Linked DNA regions of Diceros bicornis minor. The protein of the gene in region 3 interacts with the protein of the main gene of each other region in a biochemical or structural test. Links are inferred from orthologs where the notes say so. Each region holds a gene or a part of one and is shown on either strand. Other genes may lie near its edges.

The links.
Region 1: the proteins of UBE2D1 (region 3) and TRIM28 form a complex in vitro, tested with the Homo sapiens proteins (2 studies listed by BioGRID). The link is inferred for Diceros bicornis minor from reciprocal best matches to the Homo sapiens genes UBE2D1 and TRIM28.
Region 2: the proteins of UBE2D1 (region 3) and RNF167 form a complex in vitro, tested with the Homo sapiens proteins (3 studies listed by BioGRID). The link is inferred for Diceros bicornis minor from reciprocal best matches to the Homo sapiens genes UBE2D1 and RNF167.

Annotation. Positions count from the first base shown.
Region 1 is NC_080773.1:38,313,020-38,322,706, reverse strand, and holds the start of TRIM28 (transcription intermediary factor 1-beta), read right to left. Parts: upstream 6,209-9,687; 5' UTR 5,929-6,208; coding exon 5,592-5,928; intron 5,256-5,591; coding exon 5,143-5,255; intron 4,914-5,142; coding exon 4,781-4,913; intron 3,146-4,780; coding exon 3,010-3,145; intron 2,925-3,009; coding exon 2,808-2,924; intron 2,726-2,807; coding exon 2,611-2,725; intron 2,490-2,610; coding exon 2,343-2,489; intron 2,234-2,342; coding exon 2,119-2,233; intron 2,034-2,118; coding exon 1,927-2,033; intron 1,838-1,926; coding exon 1,801-1,837; intron 1,717-1,800; coding exon 1,671-1,716; intron 1,599-1,670; coding exon 1,346-1,598; intron 1,255-1,345; coding exon 935-1,254; intron 854-934; coding exon 730-853; intron 640-729; coding exon 553-639; intron 473-552; coding exon 335-472; intron 244-334; coding exon 67-243; 3' UTR 1-66. Other genes in the region: ZBTB45 (zinc finger and BTB domain-containing protein 45), read left to right, coding at 6,821-6,832. UniProt on the Homo sapiens protein: Nuclear corepressor for KRAB domain-containing zinc finger proteins (KRAB-ZFPs).
Region 2 is NC_080757.1:11,691,927-11,701,613, reverse strand, and holds the start of RNF167 (E3 ubiquitin-protein ligase RNF167), read right to left. Parts: upstream 4,641-9,687; 5' UTR 4,568-4,640; intron 4,432-4,567; 5' UTR 4,019-4,431; coding exon 3,935-4,018; intron 3,852-3,934; coding exon 3,771-3,851; intron 2,474-3,770; coding exon 2,348-2,473; intron 2,244-2,347; coding exon 2,156-2,243; intron 1,967-2,155; coding exon 1,876-1,966; intron 1,661-1,875; coding exon 1,555-1,660; intron 1,414-1,554; coding exon 1,320-1,413; intron 664-1,319; coding exon 583-663; intron 505-582; coding exon 197-504; 3' UTR 1-196. Other genes in the region: SLC25A11 (mitochondrial 2-oxoglutarate/malate carrier protein), read left to right, coding at 5,022-5,116, 5,730-5,882, 5,972-6,178, 6,355-6,445, 6,528-6,618, 6,704-6,803, 6,884-6,935, 7,066-7,221.
Region 3 is NC_080745.1:46,258,841-46,268,527, forward strand, and holds the start of UBE2D1 (ubiquitin-conjugating enzyme E2 D1), read right to left. Parts: upstream 4,985-9,687; 5' UTR 4,813-4,984; coding exon 4,789-4,812; intron 1-4,788.

The DNA.
Region 1 (9,687 bases), on a different chromosome or scaffold from region 3:
ATGGTGGGGGGGAAGTGACAGGACAGAGAATAGAGCCATGTTGGGCTGGCCCAAGGGGCCCATGCCTCAGGGGCCGTCACCAGGGCCACTGGACAACTCCTGGGCACTCAGGCTGGCACCAGGCAGGCTCAGCGGCGGGGGCTCCACCAGCACAGCAGAAAACTTGGTGTCACCGAAGGCCTCATTCATGCGAGTCTCAAAAAAGCGCTGCAGACCGATGATGGACTGCACGTCTGCCTTGTCCTGGGCAAGCAGATTGCAGTAGGTGGGTCCTAGCTCTCCTACCCTCCATCTCCCTTCCCCCTGCCCACAGGCCCATTCTCCACAGGCTCACCTCTGTCAGCTTGTTGAACTGCTTGAACATGCGGCCCACATCCTGGGCAAACTCCTGGGGGGAGCTGTAGGGCGGTGACAACTTCTCCTGGAGGCGGGCGCGGATCAGGGTCAGATCCAGGGTGCCACCGGGCTGATCCTGTAGGCAGAGACCACATAGGCTGAAGTTGAGACCAGGCAGCCCCTGCCCCTCCTCTCCTCCCAAGTCCCAGGACTCACCAGGGAGAAGGTGGAGTCAGTAGCCAGCTGGTGCAGGGGCCGGCAGGGCTCATGGCAGAACAGGGCCAGCAGGACACGCTCACATTTCTATGAACATTACGGGAGACATGAGAACCATGGAGGCAAGGAGAGTAAAACTACTGGGCAACCCCCAAGGGAGTGAGCCCCTGCCCTCACCTGCTGGTTGGCTGGCGAGAGCTTAGCCACCACACCGGCGCTGTCACCACCATCCAGGCTCAGGTTGCCATCCTCCTCCTTCAGGTCGGGTAGTACATGGCAAAGTGAGCAGCTCCACTCCTCCCTGGAAGCAATAGAGAATGAGGGGGCTGCACAGGACATGGTCCTGCCCTCCAGCCCCCAGAGACCCCACACAGCCTCCCACCCTGGCACATCCTGCAGGGCAGGCAGGTGGCAATCCAGGTGGAAGCAGAACTCGCATTGGTTGCACATAACCAGGTCGCCTGGCTTCTGGCAGACACGGCAGATAGTGGCACTGTCATCCAGGGCACCTGGGCCACCAGCTGGGGCTGAGGTGCCCTCTGGAGCCACCACCTCCAGGCCTGAGCTCGTACTGCCACTGGGTGAGGCCAGGCGAGGGCCTTCAGCACCAGGACCCTCTGCCAAGGGCATCAGCACAGGCTTGGTCTCTGGGCCCTCAGTGGCAGCAGGCGGGGCTCCAATAGCAGCCTCTGTCTCTTCCTCCTGCAAGGCGGTGAGGGACGTTCAACAGAGTGAAGGCCTGGACGGCAAATGTCATCCATCTCCCAGCCAAGATCACTTGGGGCAAGCTCACCTTGACAATGGCCATGCCAGGCAGGGGTGGGGCTCCAGGGGCCCCAGGGGGCGCAGTCCCAGGCTGTCCAGCAGCAGCAGCTGCAGCACCGCGCTCAATAACAATGAGGTTGTAATCCTCAGTGGTGCTGCCTGGGAACACCTTGAATACTGGTGGTTGGCTGTCAGCCGTGAGGTCCAGGTCCAGGCGCTCGAGGCTCACCCGTGGTACCTTGCGCATGAGGCCGCTCACCTCACCCTCCCCAGAGCGGGACCTGTTGGTGCGCCTTGGCATGAGCACCCATACCTATGCCTACCCTGCTCCACCCAAGGATAGCCACACTCACCGCTTCACACCTGACACATGTGGCTCTGCACTCGAATAAGGGTCATCTGCTCAAGACAGAAAAAGAGACAGCAGGTTAAGGTAGACCTAGGGCACTGGAACTCTCCCACCTACCAAGCAGACCCACTCACCTGACCCAAAGCCATAGCCTTCCTGCACCTCCATGGGCTGCGGGCAAAACAGTTGAACCTCAGTAGGCAAGCATCCCATGGGACCCCACACCCCTCTCCTCCCCAGAGTCCCCCTCCCCTGCTCACTTGGCTGCTGCCAGATCCCTGCTTGCTCAAGGGCCCTGGAGGCCGCGGAGGGGCCATGGGCGCAGGGCCTGTCGAGTTGGTGCCAGGACGCTCTGCCACGATCTTGCCTATAGGAAGAAAATAAAGTTAGCATAATAAGCACAGTGCCTGGGATGGTGACAAGGTACAGCACGGGGAAAGATAAAGACTCACCAAAGGCCTCCGCACTTTTGGTCCAGGCGTTGAGGTCCCACTGGAACTTCATCTCGCCATGTGGCTCCACAGGGTCCACGATCATCTTGAGGGCCCGGTGCAGCTGAAAGTAGATCTGGGGATGGGGCAGTGCTTGAGTATAAATGCAGCGAACAGGGATCCAGGGTGCTGGGAGGCACCTCCCTGAAACCCACCACCTGGGTGCCCACCAGCACAGCACACACCAGCTTCTTGGAGAGCAACAGGGCTGTGTTGTTGTCACTCTCCAGGGCCCAAGAGGCAAAACGCAAGATGTGTTCCTGGTGCTTCTGGATCTTGGTCATGGTCCAGTGCTGTCGCTCCAGGCGCTCCTGCTGCCCTTCAGTTACCTTCTGTGGATGAAAGGGCAACGAGGTTGACCAGAGAAGAGGGCACTAGAACGCCTCCCCACCCAAGGATGACATCAGCAGCCAGCAGAGAGCCCAGGAACCCTCCCTCGCACATGGGGAGTACCTGGGCATCGTTGACCAGCACACGACCCCGCTTGTTCAGTTCCTTCATGATCTGCAGAATGGCCATCTTAACATCCACCTGCACACGCTTCTGTACGTCAGATACTTGGCGAATCCTGGAGGCAGGGTTGGTCAAGTCAGGTCTAGTCAGGCAGGTGCTCACCCAGGGAACCCCATGACCCTGGCATCTCCACTTACGAGCTGCGAACCTCCTTGGTGTTCTTCTGCAATGTCGCATGCTTGTCTCCCAGGCGCTTCACCAGCGAGGCCAGGAGCTTACGCTGGTTCCTCACTGCGTCCTCCAGAAACTGGTATCTGAGAGCAGACAGAAGTAGTCCTGCACACTGTGCATAGGAACAGACAGCATCCACCCACTGACCCACCCTACCTCAGGACTCACTGGTGGTCCTTGTGGGCATTGAGCTGGCAGTCCCGGCAGGTGAGGGTGTCGCAGCTCTCGCAGAACAGCACGAGGGGCTCATGCTTGTGCACATTGCAGTACACCGTGCGCTCACCATCCCTTGACTTGGCAGGCCCTGGGGAACAGGAACCATGAGGCTGGAGCTTACCCTCAGCCACTCAAGGAGCAGACAGGGCTTGGGGCCTCACTTCCTGCCTGTCCTGGGCTGTCTGTTGGGAAAACCCAGAGGGCCCTGAAGCAGTGGCCAGAGAAACACAGGCCTGAGAACCCAGATCCTTGCTCTCAAAACCCTCTGTCCCAGCCTGCCCCTCCTTCCAGCTTCTGGCAGTAACAACACAAAATGTAAAGATGATGATCTCTGGCAGGAGAAACCTCCCCTCTACTGTTCCCTCTACTAGAATCTTCTCCAGGTGGACACTCAGGAGAGACCCTCCTCCAAACCCCCCAGTGGGCTCCCTTTCTCCTCCACTCACAGCAGGTTCTGTCCAGAAGAGAAGGGGATTCTGACTACTGTGGCAACCCAGCATGCAGAATATTCACTTTCTGGCACAGACAGAGAGCAAATCAGGGCCTAGAGACAGGCAATTTCCTTAAGAGCAATGCTTGGTGACCTCCCCTCTCCTCTGCTAAGAGAAGAGTGTTGACTTCTTACAACCCACAGGCCCACAGGAGGCCTTGCAAAGCCTTCTCAGGCTGGGAGAGATAAGACATCAGACCAGGACACTCAGAAAGGTATCAGGCACCCTCTCCACAGGGAGGGTCCTGGTGCTCAGAGTAATACCACCAAGAAGCCAATATACTATGCTGACCCCCCACACACACACAGAGCCTGTCACCATCAGAAGGCTGTTTGGGAACATCTGCTCTTCTTTCCTCCCCAATCCCAATTATGTGCCGGGTACACCAACTCGGCTTGAGACATAACATTGAAACATAGACCAGCCAGGCCTTGGCTCCTCCAATATTGCACCCCCTGCACCCTGAACTTTGTCTGGAACCCAGGACACGCTGCAGACCCCTGCCCTTCCCTCGTGGCTCCTCATGCCCCAAAGCCACCATCTCCACCCTCATCTTCCTACCTCTGAACTGAACAGACCACAGTGTAACTACCAAAATGCCACTCACAAGGAGTTCTGGACTAAAAACCAGGCTAGACTCAGAAGACTCCCAAGCCCCTTAATGTACCACTGCCAACATATTCACAAAAAAATCTAAAAATACTTGCCTGATCTTTGAATAAGACACCTACAATACAAAGCGAAAATACTTCTAAGACTCACTGTCAATGATGGTCTAAGGGCCCTCACAGCTTGTCAACATACTGTAGCCCAGAAGCCTCACTTTCCCCTACAGAGCCTTAAACCAAATGCCAGAGAACCCCAGATCCAGGAGGCCCCTCACAACCTTCCCCAAATGCCTTGTTTCCCTGACTGCACATGCCTGTCCCTACACCACTGGAGCCTATCCCAATGAGCTTCCTCAAACTCTCGTACATTCCCCTGAGGGTGTGTACTGAGGTCCCTTGTGCGCTCCCCAGCCCTGTCTGTGGCCTTTCCCCGCCCACCTAGACCTGCAGAAACTGCATACCAGAGCCCCAACCTCCCCATTTCTGAGTTCTGCCCTCAGGCCCTTCAGCTGGTACCCCCTAAAGCACTTCCCTGGGACCCATTCGCCACTTGCAACCTGCATCATAAGCAACTAAGGGCATATGTAGGAAGACAGTCTGGGCCACCCCCTCAGCCTTACATACCAGTGGAGCGCACGGTGTGGTCCTTGGTGTACTTCACCCGCTGGTGTGCCTCCACACACGTCTCGCACAATGGCTCAGAGCACTCCACACAGTAGCTGGTGGCAGGAGCATTATCCTCACAGCTAGTGCAGCACTGCTAGGCAAAGGCAGAATCAGAGAAGACAGAACCACCAGACAGATACTCATTTACATCCCAGGAACTACGACCTGAAGCAAGGTGTTGCCTTTACCTAGCCTAGGCAGCCTACCCAGACCGCTGTAGTGTCGGGAGAATAAAATCTCCCGTTGGTACCGTGCTCCTGGGCTGGTGCCCCCCTCCCCATGGCCTGAGGCTTCCTGGAAGTTGATGGAGAAAGAGATACCTGATTCGCATCCTGGGAGTCGGAAGCAGCCTTGCTGCCACTGTCGCGCATAAAGTAATTCTCCACAATGTCTTTGGAGAAGCATTGCTGCTTACACACAGGACAGTCCACCACTGCGAAAAACAGGAAGGAATAAGACCACTGCACGTTCACATTCAGGCTGTAACACCATCCCCGCACAGGGCCCCAATCTCCATTCCATTCCAGGCCAGACCCTCCCCTCCCGGGGCAGGAGCCAAACCCTTCCTTCACCAAACTTGAACCAGACCCTTCACCAAACTTGAACCAGACGCTCCATCTCAGCGCCCGATCCAGCCAAGCACTGTACAGGTCCCTATCGTCCCGCCCGGGCGATCCCCCGCCATCACCACGCAGGTAAGGCCCCCAATCCCTGCGCCAAGTTGGGATAAAACGCTGCGTGGTCGGGAGAGGGGCCAGCCCGTACTCACCGGCGCCATCGCCCGCTGCACCCCCGTCCCCCGAGCTGTTGGCGGCGGCGGGCGCCGCGGGCCCGAGGCAGGCGCTGCAGGCCGAGTGCAAGCAGGGCAGCAGGCGCGGCTCCCTCTCGGGCCGCAGGCGCTCCCGGCACACGCCGCAGTGCTCCAGTAATTCCAGGGCCTCGCCGCCGCCCCCCGCGGGTGACGACGCTGAGGCCGAAACCGAGGCCGAGGCCGAGGCCGAGGAGGCTGCGGCGCGCTTTTCGCCGCCCGCCGAGCCCTCGCCCGGGCCCGGGCTGCCCGAGGCGGCCGCCGCCGCCGCCGAGGCCGCCGCCGCCGAGGCCGCCATTCACACGCCGCCGGGGGCGCCCAGGGAGGAGGAGGGGCGCGGGTCCCGCCGCGCAGGCGCAGACGCGCTCGCCGCCAACGGCTGGGCCTCAGCCGCCGCGAGGCCGAGCGCCGCCACGCGCCGCCTGGGCCGCCGCCCGCTGCGCGCGGGGCGCTGCCGAGTACTGGCCGCCCACTGCCTGCTCGCCTCCCGCAGCCGACGCCCGCGCTTCCTCCTCAGCGGCCGCCAAGACCAGCGCCACGCACCACTCGCACAACTGCTCACCCTCGCGCCCGCTCGCAGAAAGAGCCGCTGTTGGGGGGCGGGACAGAAATAACTGGCGCCGACGCCGCCGCGCAGGCGCGCTAGGCGCCTTGCGCCCGGGGGCGGGGCTCAGGTCGGCAGCCGCTGGCGAAGCCGCGAGTACGCATGCGCCTGAGCCGGGTCCTCCTACCTCCGCCTACACCACCACCGCGCCGCTCAAGCGGCAGAGGCAGGGCATCTGTGACGTCACTGCCGCAACCTAGTCCGCGGGCGGGGCGCGCGCATAGTTACTAGGGTGTGCTCCCGAGCCAGCCCCTTCTCCAGGCCGCTATAGTGCGCATGCGTATTAGCAGTCTGGGCCTCCACCTCAATCCCGGCCCCTTTGGCCGGCCCAGAGAAGTCTCTGGTTGCTGCGTCAACAAGCGTTCGGGAGAGGGGGCGGGACACAGGAAGATGGGCGGAGGGTCCCCGTCGGAGGAGGAAGTGCTCTTCTGAGCCGGGAGGCTGACTTTTAACGTTTTTATTGTTTAACACGAGAAACACTGAAACTTGCCTAAATCAAACAGATCCCAAGAGACTACAGAGCAGCGAGTCACCTGGCCCCCCAAGCGCTCCCTTCCCATCTTTCAGCCAGCCGCTGCGCTGACTGATGCTTTTCCAGGTGGGCAAACTGAACCTAACAGTGGGGGAATTCTAAGGAGGAAAGCAGGGTCTGGGGGAGTGAATCCTGTCGGAGGAAGCAGGATCTGTAGAGAGGGGAATCCTCCCTCAGTGGGGAGTAGGATGGGGGCAGGTGAGTCTTGTCTGAGGGAGGAAGCAGAGTGCGGAGAATTCTGTCAGATGGGGAAGAGCAGGCCTGTGGGGGTGGGAGACATCCTATTTGAAAGAAACATGGCGTTTTTGTGGGAATCCTGTCTGAGGGGAAGCAGAGTCTGTGTGGGGAGAATACTGTCTGAGGTGGGAGCAGAGTTGGTGGGAGCAGGGTCCGTGGGAGGGGATCCTGTCTGAGGTGAAGCAGAGTCTGTGTGGAGAGAATCCTGTCTGAGGTAGGAGCAGTCTGTGTGAGGAGAATCCTATCTAAGGTGGGAGCAGAGTCTTTGTGCGGAGAATCCTGTCTGAGGTGGCAGCAGAGTCTGTGGGAGGTGATCCTGTCTGAGGGGAAGCAGAGTCTGTGTGGGGAGAATCCTGTCTGAGGTGGGAGCAGAGTTGGTGGGAGCAGGGTCTGTGGGAGGGGATCCTATCTGAGGGGAAGCAGAGTCTGTGGGAGGGGATCCTGTCTGAGGGGAAGCAGAGTCTCTGTGGGGAGAATCCTGTCTGAGGTAGGAGCAGTCTGTGTGAGGAGAATCCTATCTAAGGTGGGAGCAGAGTCTGTGGGAGGGGATCCTGTCTGAGGTGGGAGGAGAGTCTGTGGGAGGGGATCCTCTCTGAGGTGGGAGCAGAGTCTGTGGGAGGGGATCCTCTCTGAGGTGGGAGCAGAGTTGGTGGGAGCAGGGTCTGTGGGAGGGGATCTTGTCTGAGGTGGGAGCAGAGTTGGTGGGAGCAGGGTCTGTGGGAGGGGATCCTGTCTGAGGTGGGAGCAGAGTCTGTGGGAGGGGATCCTGTCCGAGAGGAAGCAGAGTCTGTGTACGGAGAATCCTCTCTGAGGTGGGAGCAGAGTCTGTGGGAGGGGATCTTGTCTGAGGGGAAGCCGAGTCTATGTGGGGGGAATCCTGTCTGAGGTAGGAGCAGTCTGTGAGGAGAATCCTATTTAAGGTGGGAGCAGAGTCGGTGGGAGCAGGGTCTCTGGGAGGGGATCCTGTCTGGGGTCACTAGGCACGGAGAAAACTCGAGGGATCGGTGCCTCGGAGCTGGTCCCTGGGCTGGGCCTTGGCCCCCTGTGCAGGGCTCCTCGGTCCTGAGGTCTCCAGGCCAGGATGAGGCTGGAGGGCACAGGTCTGAGAGGATGCAGAGAGCCTGGAGGGCCGGCGGGTCCAGCCCCGGGACTCGACTCTACTTTTCCAGACCTCGCACACGCCCAGGCTGCGGGGAGAGCGGGGCGCAGCCTCCCCCAACCCAGCTCCCCAGGAGCCCACACGTGGCGGCGGCGGAGACGCGTCCGGCCCTACTGGGCTGGGTGTGGCCTTTGTTGCCGCCGGGGGTCCGCAGGGCTTTGTCTCCGCGCCCGCCTTTGTTCCAGCCCTGGCGCGGCCCCCAAATCCGGGCGCCGCTCCGCCCCCTCAGCTGCATAGTCCCGGCCTCCGCGGCCACCGGAGCAGGTCCGCCGGGCCACGCCCCCTCACTGACTGGCCCGCTGCCTCTTAATCGTTCCCGAAGACCCTGTCCACGGACCGTTGCTTACTTCCTCTGATAATTGGGAAGGAAATTGGTGGCTGGCAGTGCACAGCGTGAGGTGTGGCGTCCGTTAGTAATATTTGCTGAGCACTTTCCACGACCCCACCCTGCACGGGGCCGCAAAATCTCTGAGGAGGTGTGGGGAGGACTGACCCATATTTACTCTGGCTCCTGAGGCAGACGCAGGGTTGTCAGGGACCAGACAGTCAAAATAACTAAGTGGTGGTAAAGAGTGTGGGAGAGGACTCCCCTTGGGGCTACTCCCAAACACCTGCAGGAAGGACAGTTCAAGCAGAAACAATAAGTACAAAGGCCCTGAGGCAGACCAGGCACAAAGGGAGCAGTGAAGTGAGGAGTAGTGGGAGGTGCCTAGAAGTTGCCAGACAGCTATCTGGGGATAGGTTTGGTCCTCTGGTTGCCCCTGGTTACAGGCCCTTCACTAGACTCTGGCAACTGGCCCTGTGGTTTCAATGGTCCACCAAGGCCCATGCTCTTCTCTCTAAACAGTCCCCCCTTTCTCCTTCTGGGCCCAGGACATTCCTTCCTAGTCCTTGGCAGCCACACAAGCAGGATGTCACCAGGTGCCAGCAGCAGGCCTTGGAGAGTCCCCTTACCACCAGGTGCTTGGCCACTGCCAGCCCCATTGTCCAAATGGGGAAACCAAGGCTTCTGGAAGTGCCAGGACAGCAATGGGGGAGGAGAATCAACTGGAAACCAGGCTCAGGCAGACTCAGGGAAGCACAAGGGGCATCCTAGGACTGGCTGAACCAGAGTGGGCATACAGGAGGGCAAGGCCAGGGCAGAACCCTTGCTCAGAGGTCCTCTCTTAGGAGCCAGCCTATTCAGAGGTCCAGAGGTGTATGGCAGGACACAGGTACATCTTGGCTCTGTCCCCCAGCTAGACCCGACTGAGTGTAGTCAGTGTCAGTGTCACCTTATACTCTCATCCTCTGTGCTCCTTGCCCACCCTTTACAGCATCTTACCCTTCCCAGTCCTGGACCACTGGAAACTGTCTCTATTCTGGCTTTGCAGACAGGGCTCCAGGGGTGAAACAATGCATAGGAGTCACTCAGACTGCACCCAGGCCAGCCAAGGCCTGCCTACTGCCCCTTTGGGGCACCTGCCTGCAAACAGGCACCCTCACTCTCTTCCTTCCCCAAACTCCACACCTGCACCTGGCTCTC
Region 2 (9,687 bases), on a different chromosome or scaffold from region 3:
TCCTTAGTCCACGAAAACAATTTTATTAACTCAGTAAGTGAAGACCCAGTCCCTCTGCACCCTCAACCCCCTCAAAAGGACGGGGTTGGGTAAGGGAGAAACCTGGGGCGGAAATGTCCCCTCTCTCAGCATAGAAGACTGGAAAGAGGAGAGGCTGTGCAAACAGGTCAGCAGAGGTGGAGGGGTAAGGGGAGCATTAGACCAGGATGGCAACTGAAGAGGAAGAGGAGGAAGGCGAGGGGAGATCTGTTGAAGGCCCGGGAAAAACAAGGGGGGCTGCGGCTAGGGAACCAAAGGAGGTGGGAAGTGTGGGGCTGGAGCCCAGAAGTGGGGTCCGTTCTGAGGCAGGGTGGTCCCTTGGCTCCTCTGCCTCATCACCCTCTTGCTCCTGAGTTTCTTCCTCCTCCTCCTCATCCCCAGGACCCCGATGAACGGGCTGCTTGCAGATGGGGCAGGTCTTCCGGGTCTGAGTGAGCCAGGGGTCCACACAGCGGCTGTGATAGGCTGCAGAGAAGAATGAGGTGAAGCACCTGGTACCTGCTGGTGGAGTGGGGGCATGGGCACAGGAAGGGAGGGCCTCACCATGAGCACAGGGGAGCACCCTCAGCTTGTCCCCATCCTCATATTCATCCAGGCAGATGGCACAGACATCATACTGGTCTCCTGAGGGAGGATGAAAGGAATCCTTTTACTGAGCCATCCTGGACTAGAGCCCACAAAAACTCACTCCAGGAGGCCTGTGGTAGAGCTAAACCCTGCAAGTTATCTTCCCTGGTTCTACAGAACCAGTGGAAGAGCTAAGCCTGGGGCAGAGTAAGGCCAGGGTAGAACATGAGGAATTTGGAGTTAGAATGGACAAGCAAAGAGAAACAGAGGTAAGAAGGGAAGTGGTTTTTTTGGGGGGAGGTGTAAGGGCGGAGAGAGAGGGAATGGGAGGAGCGGAAATGGGGGGGCAGGGCTTCTGTTATAGCCTTATTTGGGCACTGGAGGCTCCAGGGCCTGAAGACCCAGCCCCTCCTTACCTGTTTCTTCTTTCTCACACTCAATCCTCCCTACTCCTTTCATTTTTCTGTTCTCTCCACTTTCCCCTTTATAAACAAGGTTGGGCCTCCATCTCTTCCCCGAACTATTCCATTTAATCATTTTTGCCTTCCATCTCCTGCTCTATTCCTATCTGTCCTCACTGTATGTATGGGGAGAAAGAGGAGGAAAGGTGGCATCTTCCTATCATCTTTCTTTGCCCCTTATCTCCTTGGCTCAAACTACTTTAGAACCAGGTACGCTGTGGGAAAGGCTCTCCTCTCCCCTATCCCCCTCACCCTTCTGATAGTCATGTGTAGGAATTTGTTTCAGTTGCTCTTTGGTCAGTCGATTCCGCTGGAGCCGTTTCCGGTGCTGGATACAACGAACTATCTGGGGAAGGGGGAGTGGATGGATCAGGCTTAGGGAACAAAACTGGATAATCCAGTACAAACCATCCCCACCTCCCAACTCCAGATCCAGCGTGGCTTTAAAGGCCTCAGCTCTTCCCATCATACTCCCTGAGCTACTCACCATCACTGCTCCCATGGCCAAAACCAGCAGTCCCACAATCCCTGTGAAAGGGATGAGGTAATAGCCCAAGGGGAAGCTATTGTCTGGGACCAGAAGCACCCGAGCCCTGGGAAAAGGAAGATGAGTATCAGAGGGACAGGAAAGGCAGAGGAACAAAGTAACTGGCTCTGGACAAGGCCCATGGGTGGGGAAGGAGGTGGGAAGACAGTCAAGAGGCAGAGTATGAAGGGCCACAGGCTGAATGGTTGGGGCACTGAGGTTTGGGCTCCAGGTTAGCATGGAAGTGCTGAAGAAAGAGCAAGAAGGAGGGACATGTCCTACCCCTTCTCGTAGACAAAGAGGGCACGCAGGTACTCGGAGCTCCTCTCCCCAATAAACACAGATGGGATCCAGATCTGCTGCTGGATTTCCTCTGCAAGGATCAGGGCATTACAATGGGGACCCAACCCTCCACTCCAATCCTTTAGTAACTCTAGCATTTGGCTCTTTTGCCCCATCCCACCCAAAGGATCGACTTCTCTTCCCTACACTTTCAGTCCTCCCACCATCTCTCAGTCTGAGCGCTACTGAAAACCCAGCTGTCCAGATCCCCCAACCTTACCACTATTCCACACCATGTTCAGAAGTTCATTGGAATTCACATTGTGTACCACAGCTGCACCATACCCAGCCTTCTGAGCATTTAGGACCTAGGGAGACAAGGCAGGAGGTTAGGAGCCATCATGGGCCTTACTTCCATTCCTGGTGCTTTTTTTACCCTCAGCTTCCCAGCTCCCGCTCCACATTCAGCAACCTTGAGGTCAAAGTTGCAGTCGAATCTTCGAAGCAGTGCAATAAAGACTGACCCGTTGACCGGGGCTGGGGGTGGTGGGGAAATGGGGCTGCAGGCATTGGCTGGATGAGCCTCCACAAGGAAGCCCTAGGGAAGAGAAGCAAACAACAGTCGGATTTCACCTCCCTAGGTTCTGCTCCCCACAGGGCCCCACCAAGCACACTGGCTCCCACCAGCTGCATGTCCTCTATTCCTCACTTCCTTCTCATTCCTGGGGCCTCAGCATCCCACCTGAGTCAGAAGTCTACCTCTTCTCTTAGCCTCGTGAAGATACAATTACATCAAACCCTCCCTTTACCGGACCTTCCCAATATCCCTCTCCCTGTCCCAGATGAGCTAATCTATACCCCATACTCAGAGCTAATTCAAATTCTTCTGCCTTCCAGTTTCCCACTGAATGTAATTCAATTCTCCACTCATTCATGTCACTTTCTCTCAAGTTCTGTTTCACATTCCCTTCTTCAGTACATACTCATACAAAACATACTCCCCTCTGTTAAAAAAGAGACAACAGGCCCAAAATGGAGTCACTTGTGCTGAGCCCCCAGGTTACTGAACAGAGACTTAACACCTAACTTAATTACGGTTTCAGCCTCCCCCAGAAATAGAATCTTAAACCAGTCAATCTGGAATTACCTGGTCAGCCTTAGTGAGGTCATCTGCCTGACAGACCCCTGCCCTTTCCTAAAGAAAAGTGATCCTGCCACAATCAGCTTTCTGCTAGTATAACTCCCTCTACACTCCCTCGGGTGCTCTTCTGCCTATCAAAGTCTTTCATTTTGTACAGTTCTTGGGAGCTCCTTCCTATTTACCAGAAGAGATGCTGCCCGATTTATGAATCGTTGAATAAAGCCAATAAGATCTTTAAAATTTATTCTGTTTGATTTTGTTAACACCTCCCTTTAATTTTCCAATTACCCCTCTTACAAACAACTATACTGACAGCTATGACCCAACTGAGTTCTTGCTATGTGGCAGTCTTTGTGATCAAGTACTACAAAATTGTTTATCTAATTTAATCTTCATAACAACGCTGAGATAATTTCTATTATCATCCCATTTTACAGGAAACCCATCCAAGGCTCAGAGAAATAATTAACTTGTCAAAGGTTATAAAACCAATAACTGGCTTCAAAAGACTCTACTGATAAGCACCACTTTGCCCTGCCTTTTATCTTAGTGCACTTCCAGTCTCCCTATAAGGCTCAGAGTTCTAGGGGCAGACTTGGTCTTCTCCCTCTAGATTCCACACTGGATGTGCTTATGCACCTAGTTGCTAAGTGGACTCTTTTCCTACTTCCAACTTCACCCAAGGGCAAGGCTCCTCAACCCCTACGAAGGATGGAGGATTTAGGGGAAACAAGAAAAATGGGAAGAAAATCACCTGAAGTCCCTCCTGGCTCAAGGCAGCCCCAAAAAGAGCTGGAAGGTCTGCAAAGTCCATGCTGGCATTGTGGTCCGAGGTCTGCGGACAAGAGAGTCCATGTCCCCCTTCAGCCTGCAACCTCTGTCTTCAGCGCCCTTCCCGGATCTGCCGCTCAGACTCACCGCTCGAATGAGCCCCCGGATAGGGGCCGCTCCCCACAGCACAGTGGCCACAACCACAGGAAGCTGGAAGGCCGCAGGGTGCATGGCAGCCGCAGGGGAGAAGCTGAGGAGGCCGCGTCCTGGTAGCAGTAGCAGAAGCGAGTTCTGCGCCCTCTCCGCCCCCTTCAGGAGCCCAGGGGTCCAACCACCCCCAGGTCCCACTTCCCAGCTACATGGGGGAGCGGGGAAGAAACCCCGACTCGGGGAGTGAGATGTCCAACCCGTTTAGTGGAGCTGGGAAGGAGACATTAAATGTACCCTTTTCTGGAACAGGGATAAAACGGAAAAGGGACGGAGGCAAACACAGGTGACAGAAAAACTTCTGGAAGGGTGGGGGAGCTCCAGGAGGTGGGACTTCCGGCCAGGTGGGCCGTCTTCCTATCCCCCGAAAAAGGTTTCCGGTAAAGAAAGTCCGGCCACTTCCAGCATTGGACGCTCACGAAGAAGGACTTCCGGTCCTAAGAGGCCGGTTAAAAGAAAGGTTAGAGGTGGAGGGAGCGCCTGTGAAGATGGAAGGAGCACTGAAGCCCCTGAAGACGACCTAGTCCTCTCCTCCTTAGTGCTCGGGATCCTGCAGCTGCCCAGTTTACAAACCTCTTCTTCTGCCCGGCGCCGCCGCTGCGGTACCTTCAGATCTCGCGAGAGTCCTCACCACACTTCCCTCCCACCAGCTGAAATCTTGCTGTATCTATCGCGAGAGACCTCCTAACTCTGGCTAGCGTAGCTCACAGTTCTCGCGAGATCTTCAAATAACCTCCTCTCTGTTTTCCCGCGATTCCAATTCGGTAGAAACTGCGTCTATACTCTGGCTTTCTAAATCAGCCACACCCCTTCCCGCACCCGTCCTTGAAGCTCCTCCTTCAGCTCCGCCTTACTCCCGGCCGCCTTTGCGCTGCGCGCCTGCGCCAGCTTCCAGTTTGTGCTGGTCCTGAGAGCTTGAGGGGCGTGCGCGCGCGCGCCCTCCCTCCTGTTGCGCGCGCGGTGTCACCTTGGGCGCGAGCGTGGCCGCGCGCGCACGGGACTCGGCGCCGGGGGCCATTGAGTGGCGATGGCGGCGACGGCGAGTCCCGCTGCTGGCGGGATGGACGCGAAGGCCCGTACCTCGCCTAAGTCCGTCAAGTTCCTGTTTGGGGGTCTGGCCGGGTAAGCTCAGGCCCCAGGGATGGGAAAGGAGGATGAAGGGACGGGTGCAAGGAACCGGGCCCAGTTCATCTTTGGGTCTGTTGCAGTGAACCGAGCCGGCATGGGGTCAGCGCGGTCCCCAGGGTATTGCAAGGTCCTTGATGGGCTGCCAGGATCTTTTCACCCATTGCAGGGCCCCTACTGGGCTGCATGCAGGGTCATTGCATAGTCCCTGTCGGGCCACCTGAATTTCCCAAACCATTGCTTGGCTCTGCCGGGCTCTGTGGAGTTCCAGGTCATTGCGTGGGGCTCCTGCCGGACGACGTGGAGTCTCAGGTCATGAGTGCCCACCTCTCCTTCCTGGGTCAGACTGCATGCAGTCCCAGGTCACTGCTTGACCTCCTTGGAGCTGCATGGAGCGCTTTCATTGCATGGCCTCTACTGGATCCCTGGATTTTTCAGACCCATTGCTCCTGGTACATGCAGAGAGTTATACACATGCCCACCAGCCTCCTGAATACTTAGTCAGTCGCATGGCAGGCCCTGCCCTTTGTGACCCCTAGTTGCCAGGCTCCGTTGGGCATTGGTAGATCAGGGACACCTGGCCGTTGACTCCACCCCTGTCTTCCTCCAGGATGGGAGCTACAGTTTTTGTGCAGCCCCTGGACCTGGTGAAGAACCGGATGCAGCTGAGTGGGGAAGGAGCCAAGACACGAGAGTATAAAACCAGCATCCATGCCCTCACCAGCATCCTGAAGGCAGAAGGGCTGAGGGGCATTTACACTGGGTATTGGGGCCATTATCACAGGATGAAGGGTAGGGTGTGGTTGGCAGCTCCAGACCTTGGCCTGATGCACTGACCCCTTCACTCCCCAGGCTGTCAGCTGGCCTGCTGCGCCAGGCCACCTACACCACTACTCGCCTTGGCATCTATACCGTGCTATTTGAGCGCCTGACTGGGGCTGATGGTACACCCCCGGGGTTTCTGCTGAAGGCCGTGATTGGTATGACTGCAGGTGCAACTGGTGCCTTTGTAGGAACACCAGCTGAGGTGGCTCTTATCCGCATGACTGCCGATGGCCGGTGAGTTCCAGGTCTGAGCCAGCCCTCAGACCAGGTCCCTGGAATCTAGAATGAAAGAACTGATGTCGTATCCTAGATCTAGAGCAGAGCATTCACTTGTTCTGGCCTCCCTTTCTTTGTTCCTGTGGGGCAGGGTGGTCAATCCTGAGCTTGGCCTCTCCCTGCCTTCTCACCAGGCTTCCACCCGACCAGCGCCGTGGCTACAAAAACGTGTTTAATGCCCTGGTTCGAATTGTCCGGGAGGAGGGGGTTCTCACACTATGGAGGGTGAGTGAAGGGGCTGGAGACTTGGGGGACATGGAGTCAGGTCTCGGGCATTTCTGACTTTTCTCCCACTCTCCCACCCCAGGGCTGTATCCCTACCATGGCTCGGGCTGTCGTTGTCAATGCTGCTCAGCTCGCCTCCTACTCCCAATCCAAACAGTTCTTACTGGACTCAGGTGAGATCCAGAGCTGGGCCCCCAGCTCCCCGCCTGGCCTGGGCCAGCTCCGAGCTGACTGCCACCCCTGCTCCACCTCCCCCAGGCTACTTCTCTGACAACATCCTGTGCCACTTCTGTGCCAGCATGATCAGCGGCCTGGTCACTACTGCCGCCTCCATGCCCGTGGACATTGCCAAGACCCGGTGAGTATGCAGGCCTGGGCCTGGAGAGGGATAGGAGGGCCCCCTTTGTGTCTCTCATGCCCCTACCTCCTCTCCTTCAGGATCCAGAACATGCGAATGATTGATGGGAAGCCAGAATACAAGAACGGACTGGTGAGGAGGCAGGGCTGGGGGCTTGGGCTGGAGGATTGGATGCCCTGGGAGGGCAGTGAGAGTGGCTGGGTAAGAGGGACAGGGCCCCAGAGGCCAGGTCCTAGCCTCTGCGCTCTGCTTGCCTGTCTAGGATGTGCTGGTGAAGGTCGTCCGCTACGAGGGCTTCTTCAGCCTGTGGAAGGGCTTTACACCATACTATGCCCGCCTGGGCCCCCACACCGTCCTCACCTTCATCTTCTTGGAGCAGATGAACAAAGCTTACAAGCGTCTCTTCCTCAGTGGCTGAGGCGGGCGAGGGGCCTGGAGCCAGTGTGCCGGGGCTCCCCCTCGCTCGCTGCTCCTACAGTCAGTGCACCCCCGGGGGGCCTGGACTCTGCTGCCCTGGGCCCCTCTATTTATTTTCCCTCCACAGTGTGGTTCTCTCCTCTGCGGTAGAGGACTTTGGTCTGTCCTACCCCTGCTCCAGCTTGTCCTGATCCTCATGACCTCTCTGTCTCTGCCGGTGCCTTGGGGGGAGTTGGGAAACTCCCTGAGGATTTCTGGCCTCCTCTTGGGTTTTAGTTTGAGGACACATAGGACAGCAGAAGATCCCCCCTTCTCAGTGGGGAAACTGAGGCAGAGCTGAGGGGACAGGAGAGAGCAGAAGCTGTCAAGATGGTCAGAGGGTCTGCAGTGGGTGGACGTGGCCCTTCCTCCACCTCACTGAGGACATAATCAATAAATTGGATTGATAATACCACCCCAGATCTGGAGAGTTGTGGGGGCAGGAGGGGGAGGAGACTGGACAAAGAAGCAGATGCCCCTGAAGAACAGGAACTGGAGTTTTTAAGAAAAATTATTAAAGAACAAGCACCCGCTGCTTTTATGCAAATGCTGTGTAAATGAGTCTTGTTGCAGCAGCTGACAGGGTGAGGAAAACCAAGACTCCACGCCCTGTGTGCTGCTTCAGACAGACGCACAGGTCATCTCATGTAATCCCGGCAAAAGCCTCTGGGGTCTGGTGGCTGCTTCTGCAGCCTGAAGAGGGAGGGGCTAAAGAGGCTCTGAGGGGAAGGCTGACCTGTAGGAGCGGAGGGGCAGGGCCCCACAGCCTGGAGGCTTGAGGAAAGCGAGGGTGTTAGAGACTTGATCTGGGCCCCAGGCTGCCTTACCTGTTTCTTTAGAAGGAGGTGTGTGATTCCCAGGGCCTGCTCTCAAGGAGTCTAAAAACCTCTTGGGGCATAAAAGGGCATGGGAAGGTCGGCTGGAAGGAGGGCTGGGCAGCGGGAGGCCCAGAGGCTTCAAGCCAGGCCAAGGGACAGGCAGGCAGCAGGTGGGAGCTGCCCCCTGGCCAGGGCCTCGTCAGTAGAAGAGGTGGAGCCTCGCAGCCTGGCATCCCTGCTGGGCCCTTCCACCTCTGCGTCTCTGCTTACCCCCTCCGTGCACATGCTGGCCTGGGCCGTAGTGGCCACTTTGAGACACTTGGAGCCTGGACCTTGTCCTTAAGGAGTTCCAAGTCCAGAAGGGAAGATGACACAGGAGCAGCTGGGGACCTGGGAGTGTAGCAATAGACGGTTGCAGGGTAACTTGGAGCACCTGGCCCAGCCTGGGGGCGGAGAGACCTGTGCATAGTAGCAATTAGGTTGGCCGGGAAGGGGTTGGGACCACACTTCTGGCTGACGTGAGAGCAAAGTCTTAGAGGAGAACTGCTATAGAAGAGGTGATCTGTGCAGTTGGCGATAGCTGGAGCACACGTCACGTCTGTCAAAGCGGGACTGGTAGATGGGGTCAGTGAACAGAAGTCCTTGATTGCCAAGTTCAAGAGTTTGTGCTCTACCCGGGGAAGAGTTCAAAGCAGGAGAGAGACGCAGTCAGGTTTTCAAGGTAGGAACATTCTTCCAACACCGTCTGGAGGAAGGAGTCTCTGTGGAACCAGAAAGGCTCAGCCTTCACTCCCATTCTCTGGGCCCCAGTCCTTGGTTTGGGCTGGAGACGAGGCAGGAGAGAAAGCCCCACCCAGCGTGGTAAAGGGAATGGCAGAATCTATTGCACAACAGAGAGCAGTGGGTTCCATTTGCCTGCGTCCTAGCTTAAGAGCAGGAAACCTGAGACTATTCGATAAAACCCACCAAGATGGCACACACTGCCAGGCCCATACCCTTCTCCTGTCCCTTTGAGCTGGGCAAAGCAGGAGAGCTGCATTTCTTGAGGCCACGGGTGTGAAGAGGCACCCACCTTCTCTCCTAGTACTGCAGGCTGCAGGCAGGTAGGCCTCAGCAATGTCACTAAGCTCCAGGGAAACATGGTTCTTGAGCTGGAACTGGGGTTTGGGGTGGCCTGGTGGGTGGTCACTCCTGGAGGAGAGGAGACACCCAGGCAGGGGAAGTGCAGGCTGGGACTAGAGCTGTTTTGCGTGAGTAGTGCAAGTAGGGTGGGGGCAGTTGGGGCCTTGAAATGCTGGTGACAGGTGCCCCAGCCAGTCTCCTCCAAAAGAAACTAAATTTTCTTTTTTAAATTATTTTTTATTATACAAATAATATATTATGGTGGAAAACTAGAAAATGCTAAGCAGAGGAAAAGAAAAAACTACCCATATTCATCCTACCCAGAGACAGTCAAGGCTCACATTTTGATAAATCTCTTTCTTTTTTCGATACACAGATACATGTCGGAACCACGCTCTATTCTATTTATTATTTGCTTTTTCCTAAAACTTCCCAAAAGTAACGGTAGTAATCTAGTGGTCTGGGGGAAAAAAAACACAAAACCCATG
Region 3 (9,687 bases):
TTGATTAGCAGCACTCATTAAATATGTTTTCTACCTGTATTTCAGGAAACTAAAGCAAGTAAGGATGTTATTCTGCTTTACTGGAGGCAATTCCACATCCTGCTAGGTTTGGTTTATATATGTGCCTGGCTTCCTAAAATAGACATAAACAGCCTTATTTAGATCTATGCCATTTATTTCCACAGAGAAGGAACCTCAGAACTTTTTAACTATAACAGATTATCTAATCTTTTTATACTTTTGTTGTTATGAAGAAAGAAAAATACATGATACTGGGGGCAAAAGGAAGACTGAGCTTAATTACAAAGATTTAAAGCAGAAAAATTCACATGGTGGCTTTTTAGAAAAAGAACACTTTCTTCCTTTCATTTCAAAGCAAACCATTTACCTACCAAGAAGCATAAATACTATGTATTTACCTACCAAGAAGCATAAATACTATGTTCCTCCTTTTTTTAAATTTTTAAAAAAGTTATATCCTTCTTTATTCAAAGAACCTGGAGTCTTAGATTTTTGTAATCTGAAAGTCTTTCTAACATATCTGTCCAATCCAAACAGTTGACTACTATTCAAAATCACTACAGGAACTAAACAGCTATAAGGATTCATAAACAGGTTTCACAAATGAAAACTCCGTAATGAAATGATACTTTTGACAGAATGTTAATGAAATACAATCAATTTTTCTAAATCCTTTTGGAGGAAAAGAATTTTAAGTGATGTAACAAAGATGAACAAAGTTATATTATTCATTCACCATGTTAAATGATCCAGTGTACATTACTTGAGAGCAGAGATTTACAATGCATAATCAACACACTGAGTGATGTGTCAGTAAAAATGATTAAATATGCCAAGGTCTTAATTATAACACCACTTTATATTTGTACAGAACATTCCAGTTTGCAAAGCACTTACATCCATAAACTCACTTGATTCTATATGTCCTTCAATTTAAGTACAATAGATATAAGAGGTGAGTCCATCTGGATAAGAGAAGCTATGTACTGAAATGGTTAAGAGCATGGAATCTGGAGACAACTGTCTGGTTTGGGATCCTAGCACTGCCGCTTACTAGATATGTGATTCTGAGCACATTACTCAACATCTCTGTGCCTCAGTTTCATCATCTGTAAAATGGGGATAATAATCATTTCTATCTCTTGGGTCCACTAAGGATTAAATCAATTAACATACGTCAAGCACTTAGAACAGTGCCTAGCAGAGAGTAACCATTATATATTGTACACGCTGGTTGTACATATCAGCAGCATCATCGTATGGACAGGGAAACAAGCTGGTAAGTCACAGAGCCAAGAATAGAAACCGGATCTTCTCCCAGTTGATGCTCCATCCACAGAGAGCTGGGTTGTTTTTAAGTATCCCAAGGTTTTTCTAGACTGACATAAACAGTTTAATTGTACAAATCAAAAAATCCAGCAGCTCAAAACATTTAAAAAGTTATATTTTAATCTATGTTTATATATACATTTTAAGTTAAATTATTTAAAAAAATATATTCCGTTTTGTGGACAGAGCTGTACACTAAGGAATACTTATCTGTGTTGCTATATTTGCAAAACACAACTCTTCTGTTTCACTTTTCAAAAGATAGACCAAAAAGGCAACAAGCCTATCATATCACATCATGTTAGTATGACCATTACTTCAATTTATCAAATAAAAAAATCTAGAAGGAAATATACTAAGATGATGATAATACTGTATTAGGATTTTCTTTTTTTCCCTTCTGATTTTCAAAACATTCAGTATTGTGATAAAACATTCATAATTTTAAAACTGATTTCCCAAACAGGTTTATCGAGGACCAAAAATAGTATTGATAGAAAAAACACTCAGAAATTAATTCTAGCAGATAATAAATGCCTAGGTAAAAAACTGCCCTCTTTTTTCAGACGTGTTTTAGGTATATTTCCTCAGACTTTGTTCAAACTTTTTACCTTTCTTTAGTGATTTAGCTAACTGTGATAACATCTTCCACTGTATCTAAAAATAGGGCATGGGTGTGTAAATTTATGAGCTGAAATGCAAAACTGGCACTGGATGTCTAAATTAGAGTATTAAATCATTTAACATACTCTAGTATAAAAATATATTTTAAGCGTTGATATCCACATACTTTGTATACACATTATACATAATTTTAACTCAATCATCTTTAATCTTTTCATATGAAGTGAAGAAATGTGAAGTCATGAACTTTTTTTAACATTCTCAACTATGCCAAATCATTTCTTAAGAGATTAACTTGGACAAAGCATTCCTCCACTCCAGGCCTCAGATTCCTTCTTTGAATAATAAGGAGAGTAAACTAGAACATCAGTGGTCTCAACTTTCTTTCCACTTCAGCCCATCTGAGAGATCCAACATCTCTCCCTTTACAGCTATGGGGACAGTTTGAAAATGTCCCACAGGGGATTCTGATACACTACCCTGCCCCTGCCCTCTACTCCACTACTGCAGAGTTCTTTGAGGTGCCACACAGCTCTAAAGTCTGGCACTTTAGGTACAGGAAAATCACAACCCAATGACCTGGAAGGTATCTGACAGTGTTAACACACTTAAAAAGGCAGGCCAAAAGTTAATATGCATTTTCTTTTGTTAGAACATGCAAGCCTCAAATAAGAATTTGTATACTGATGATATCAAAGAGGGCTTTGAAACTATTCATATGGCAAACAGCACACCTCACCTGGAACTGGATTCTAATCAAGGAGGTGGGTAAAGGAGGAGGAAAAGTGGGGAATCAAACAAAATAATACCCTCTTTAAAGTTTGAGGGAATGGTTTGAACATGTGATTAATGGAAAGAAGATTTCTGCAATTTTTCTGATAACAGAAAAGACAAAGACTGACACACAGAGACATTATGTTATGTGATCCCCAGTTTCTTCTCACAAGTATCAATTTGTTACAGGTCTGACATCGATTCTATGTAAATGATTTTTTTTATCAGACAACTCTGTTATAAATTAATAATAACTAATAGCTACTAAAAATATGGTTTAAGCATGCCATATTATGAATATAAATATAAATATAAATATAAGCCAAATACATTGACTCAGCATGGTGATTGACAATTGCTCAGTATGGTATATACAAATAGTGTCCATTTTCTTTGAATGTCTACTTACTGTGGACAAAGTCTACACTATTTAAAAGTTATTTTATGGGCAAAGTCTTGTGAAAAATTGTCACAACTGGAAAGAAAGAAATGGAATTTTAAAACTTCCTTGGAAAATCTGTGTTGTTTAATTCAAGTGTGAGCCAGTATTACATCATCATTAATAAGTATACAAGGCACGGCAAAGATGCTGACTAGGGCTTCAAAACTAGGATTACCTATATGAAAAAAATGTGTCGCACTATTTTCAAATCAGAAAACACCTTAATCATAAATGCTGATTATTAGCTATATGTGTTATAGTGAGTGGACCCTTAACTGGCAAAAAAGAAAAAAATTAACAGTGATCCACAGATTTAGTATTGGAACCAAAAAAACCAAAAAAGAAAGAAACAAACTGGCTGGGTCTGAAAGCTGCTGTCCTCTGTACCAGAAGATGCCACCAGTGGTGACTGAGAATACAATGTACACATCTCTATAACTGCTCTATTGATTCATGCCTGAAAATGTTGATAAAAATTTGCGGTAGGCATAGATTTCTTCTGAAATCATTTGCCAAAACATGCTGTCCGTTGCTGGCATAACTTTCTGAACACATTCCCCATTTAAAAAACAAATTCTCAATGTTCTCCACATAAACTAAAACTGTAGAACCTAAAACTTGTGTCAGTGAACAGACCAATAACCCCAACAAGAAATAAAAGTGAACAGAACGAAAATGCCCCAAACCCAATTTTGTAAGATGTTCACATTTGAAACAGTAGCAATAAATACTATGCAAGAGAAGACAACTCCTTACACGTACTTGGGATGGACAAATATTTGTTGAATGAATACGGTATACATTTCTTCCTCATTCTATACCCATGTGTTAAAGCATCAAACAATTTAATTCGTGGCAGTTTCTGTTGTGTCTCGAACTTCACATATAAGTTTATTATGAGGGGAAAAAAACCTGTTTGGCTTGACTCACCATGAATCACAGCCAGGAGGTCATCTTGTTGTGTATCAGCAACTATGTTTTCACTACAGCTATGTGACCTGAAGTGGCAGCAGCAGAGGCACCAAAATAGAAGGGGCAGGAGGCTTCTCGGCCCCAAATGAGCTTTTCCAGCCCATTCGGGCATCTGAGCAAGAGCAAACCGCAGAGGAGAGAAAGAACAAACCCAACAGCTCCGAGGAGAAAGGCTGCAGGCCCACTACACCTTCCTTGCCCTCCCCGGGAGCCCGGAGAAGCAAGAACATAAAAGAAGATGGGCTTAAGAAACACAGAAGAGAAATCACAGCATGACGGGGGCCAAAACTAGCCCGGTGTAGGGCAAAATCCAGCCGTGACCGTGAAGCACAGATTTCGGGAAGCTCTGGAGACGGAGGAGGATCTCCACCCGATGGCTTCGGGCGCGAGCGCGCAGCGGGCCCCCTGCCTCCCAGCACCTCCAGCCACCGGGGACCTGCCCCCGCTCCCGCCTCACCTGTCCGGCGCCCGCTGGCCCGGCCGGTGTCTCCCGCGCCCGGTCCCCGCCCCGGCCCACCCTCCCATCCCATGTCCTCCTGGCGCGTCTCTCGGGACCTCCGCCTGGGTCAGCGTGGGCAGGGGGCCGAAGCCCGCTCCGCCGCCCCGGGCCTGGCCCCGGCACTCACTTTCTGAATCCGCTTCAGCGCCATGGGTCAGGGAGGGCGGCAGGGACACCGGCCGGCGGGGGCGGCTGCGGGGCTCGGGGGCGTGCGGTCGTCGCGGGCTCGGCTCGCTGGCGGCTCGGCTGGCTCAGCCCGGTGGGTCCCCGGCTCGCCGTCCGCAGGCTCGCTCCGGGCGCCGGTGCCTGTTCCGTGTGCGCCCGAGCGCGAGTGTGCGCGACTGTGCGGGCGGGGACGCCGGCGAGACTCTTTTGTTTCCGCTTTTGCTTCTGGGAAGGAGCCTGCGCCCTCCCCGCCCCGCCCCGCCGGGCACACTGGGAAGTGTAGTTCCAGCCCTCTCCTCGGCCGCCGCCGGCGGGTTCCTGGCTGCTGACCTCCACCCCGCAGCCTGGGCTTGGAGCTGCCGGGGTCTTGAGCTGGCCTCCGCAATTTGATTTTTAATGAAGTTACTGAACTGGCGTTCCCAGTCTGTAAAATGGGGATAACAAATTAGCTCGTGAAGCACTTAGGAATTTCTAGTATGTGCTACAGCTGCTCTTGTTATTTTTACCCTTACAGATTTCACTCTTCTCAAACAGACGAATTGGCTCAATTTCTCACACATGCACAGACTCAGACCAATTATGACTCCTTACTTACCTCCCTACTTCCTATTTCAAAAGGCGTCTCCTCTATCCAGCGCTAATCCCGCATGTCTGCTCCTCCTTCCAACTCCGACTTCTGAGCTTCACCCTCACTATTGGCTCCCTCCCTTCCGCTGACAGTACCTGCTCGATTTAGTCTATCCACAACCCCCATTCCCTCAATTCTCATGAACTGTGTGCTCATTAAAACTTGGCTTCTGCTTTCAGCACAAGCAGAATCGGTTTTCGCCAAGGTCGAGCTTGAGCTTCTGATTACGGAATCCGATTCACTCCTTATCCCCGTGATGTTTTTGACCCATTTGATTACTGGCCACCCTTTTGCCTTTCAAAACGCTCACTGCCTCTGGCTTCCATAGCGCCATGGTAGTTGGGTCTTCTCTGACTTACCCTTTTCTGTCCCTAGCTCCTGAAGAGTTGGAGTGCTCCGGAAGTCCAAGCCTTGATCTCTCACCATGAATATCTTCCTAGACGACAGACTTCGTGCCCTCCCGGAGCCTGGGAGGCCGCCCAGCGTGGCTGGAGGAGCGTGGGCTTTGTAGACTGACCACTCTCCGGAGGTGGAATCCCAGCCTCACTTACACCCACCGTGTGACCGTGGTAAGCCACTTAAACTCTCTAAGCCTCCGGTGCCTTACCTGTCCATAGAGATAATAATCTCTAGATGTATTATTGTAAGAATTAACTGGTATTAATATATATAATGTGCCAAACACAGTATCAAATATGTTGAAAGTGCTCTATAAAAATTATTCCCTTATTTGTTTTTATCTATATGATGATGACTTTAAAAATCTCTCTTTCCAGCCCAAACTTTCACCCCAGTTTTAGCCTCATATTTCCAAAAGCCTGCTAGACATGTCCACCTTCCTTCCCCATGGCCAGGAATGAGAGTCTGTTACTATAATGTGAAGGTGAAGGAAAGCTTTCCAAGAAGCCCACAACCATAGCTACCATAGCATTCTCAAGGCTTACAAAGAGCAAGGGACAAAAATTTACTCATATAACTTAAAAGAAAATGTCCAGGGGAATAGTGAAAGAATAATAGAAATAATTAATGGGATCTGAAACTTAATTTGGAAGCCTCCCCACCCCTCTCCCCCTGAAAAACCTAAGACAGGCCTGGAGCCCGGCTACGCTCTCCCTTTCCTTTTCCCGAGGTCTCGCCTCTCTCCGCACATTGGCCCACCCTCCTCTTTCCAGCTCCCCTTTAGCTTCTCTTATCCATGGCCTGAGCTCACACTGCCCTTGCCCTACTTTTTGACACTCTTGCGGCAACTGTTCCTGCTGCTGGAAGGCCTAGCCTTTTGGCACTTCCTATTTCATCTCCCTAAAAGGAAGAATGTCATTGATGCAACTCATCTTTTTACTCCAGGCTATAAATTCAGCTAGTAAACAAAGTATGGATTGACTACCCTTGGGTTAGGTGGCCACCCCATGGTCCAATCAGCTGTGGGAAGTTTGAAGGACTTTTGGGCAAAGAGGCTTCTGAAACAGACCAGCAAGGTGGTAGCATGCTGCAGAGAGGTGTATTTGGGCTAGCTTGATGCACCATTTTTGGGCTCCAGAAAGTGGAACCCTACTCCCACATCACTCTTCCTTTTTATAGGGCAAGCAAGAGAGTGTCCTTGTAAGTAGGGGAGAAACAGTCTAGGCTCGGGCACCAGCTGCTTTGCGGAGTCGCATTCCCAAGCTGATAGCATTATTCCCCCCCGCCCAAAGCCCCAGTAGATAGTTGTATGTCCTAGTTGCACAGCCTTCTGGTTGCTGTATGTGGGACGCGGCCTCAGCATGGCCGGAGTAGTGGTGTGTCGGTGCGCGCCTGGGATCCCAACCCAGGCCGCCAGCAGCGGAGCGCGCACGCTTAACCGCTAAGCCATGGGGCTGGCCCCCAAGCTGATAGCATTTGGATATCATGTTGGAAGCGAGGCCATGTTCAGCTGCTGCCACTATGGGGAAGCAGTAGTTGCAGGTAGCTCATTTCCAGGAAGCCCGGAAAAAATCTCCAGGGTCATTCAGGACTGATTATCACTCGATAGATAACAAAAATACACACTTAAGCAGAGGCTATGATCAAGACAATTTCATTCAAAAAGCATTGAGAGCCCAGGACACTGGCATCAATTTCTCCCTATTCCAGGATATCCTATATACTACTAAAAGACACACTAATCAATCACTCCAATGCTTAAAAATCTCTATGGGTTTATGTCCTGGAAGCCCAATGCCTCAGCTTACTGCAAAACACTCATCACAATTTGTCCCTAAAATCCTCCTTTCCATCTTTAGCTCACATACTATAAAGACACTAGCTCATATGCCTTTGCACAATGCATTCTCTCCACATAGAATGGCCTCCCACCATTCACCTGATAAACTCCTATGCATCCCTCAAGACCTAACTCAAATGATACACGATTTATGAGATCCTCCTCTACCTATTCACTGAGGTGGATTTATAATATTTATATTATTCTTTTAATTCCAGAAGCAAGATGTTCATACTTTAGGGATATCACTTATCTTATTCATGACTGGTTATCTCATTAGAACATGAATTCTAAGAACATATGGAAAATGTCTTTTTTTTTTTTAGTGAGTTAAAATTTACATACAGTGAGATGCACACATCCAGGTGTACAATTCAATGAGTTTTAACAAATGAATATACCTGTGTAACAACACCACAATTAAGATATAGAACACTGGGCCGGCCCCATGGCTTAGCGGTTAAGTGCGCGCGCTCTGCTACTGGCAGCTGGGTTGGATCCCAGGCGCGCACCGATGCACCGCTTCTCTGGCCATGCTGAGGCCGCATCCCACATACAGCAAATAGAAGGATGTGCAACTATGACATACAACTATCTACTGGGGCTTTGGGGGGGAAAAAAAAAGGAGGAGGATTGGCAATAGATGTTAGCTCAGAGCCGGTCTTCCTCAGCAAATAGAGGAGGATTAGCATGGATGTTAGCTCAGGGCTGATCTTCCTCACAAAAGAAAAGATATAGAACACTTCTATCAACGCAGAAAATTCTCTTCCAGTCACTCTCTACCCGAATAGGGAACCACTTTTCTGATTTCCATCGCCATAGATTAGTTTTGTCTGTTGTTGGATGTCATGTAAATAGAAAAATAAAATACATACTTTTTTGTGTTTGACCTTTTTAGCTTGATGTAATGTTTTTGAGATTCTTCCATTTTTTTATGTGTCATTAGTTCATTCTTTTAAATTACTGAGTAGTATTCCATGGTATGAATATACTATAATTTTTTTTCTCCTTTCTCAGGTTGGTGAACATTTGGGTTGTTTCCAGTTTAGGTTTATTATAAATAAAGCTGCTATGAATAGTCTTGTACATCTCTTTTTGTAGACATATGTTGACATTTCTCTAGGATAAAACCTTGGAAATGGAATTACTGGGTCATAGGATACTGTATGTGTAATAGCATAAGAAACCACCAAAGAGTTTTCCAAAGTGGTTATATAATTTTAAAGTCCCAACAGCACTGTATGACTGTTATTTGTTCTGCCTTCTTGTCAACATTTGATGTCCATCATTTAATTTTAGCCATTCTCTTGGGTTTTAAGTAATCTCATTGTGGTTTTAATTTGCATTTCTCTAATGACTGATGTTGGAACCTTTTCATCTGCCTATAGGCCATTCCTATACTTGCTTTTTCCTCTAATAACTCTATGAAATGGGTATAAATTTCACTCTTACAGATAATGAAAATGAGATACATAGAAGTTAAGAGATTTGCCCAAGGCCTAATGGCTCATAAATGGCAGCGCTGATATTGGAATCCGGGCAGACTATCTAGGCTATGGAGTTTTCTATAACTTTTCTATACCTCTTCCCTATACCTTTTAAGTGGGACGTAATTTACTCTTCTTTTTCTGACTTCTTAAGGTACAATGTTACAATGGTTGTAAATCTTTCTTCCTTTCTACTTGAAAACTTCAAAGCTATTAATTTTTCTCTGTGTACTGCATTTCACAAATTTTTTTTTTGAGGAAGATGAGCCCTGAGCTAACATCTATTGCCAATCTTCCTTCTTTTTTCCTTTTTTCTTCCCAAAGCCCCAGTAGATAGTTGTATGTCATAGCCGTACATCCTTCTAGTTGCTCTAATGTGGGATGCCACCTCAGCATGGCTTGATGAGCAGCGGGTAGGTCCGCACCCAGGATCTGAACCAGCGAACCCAGGAGCGCGTGAACTTAACTGCTATGCCACCAGGCCGGCCCCTGCATTTCACAAATTTT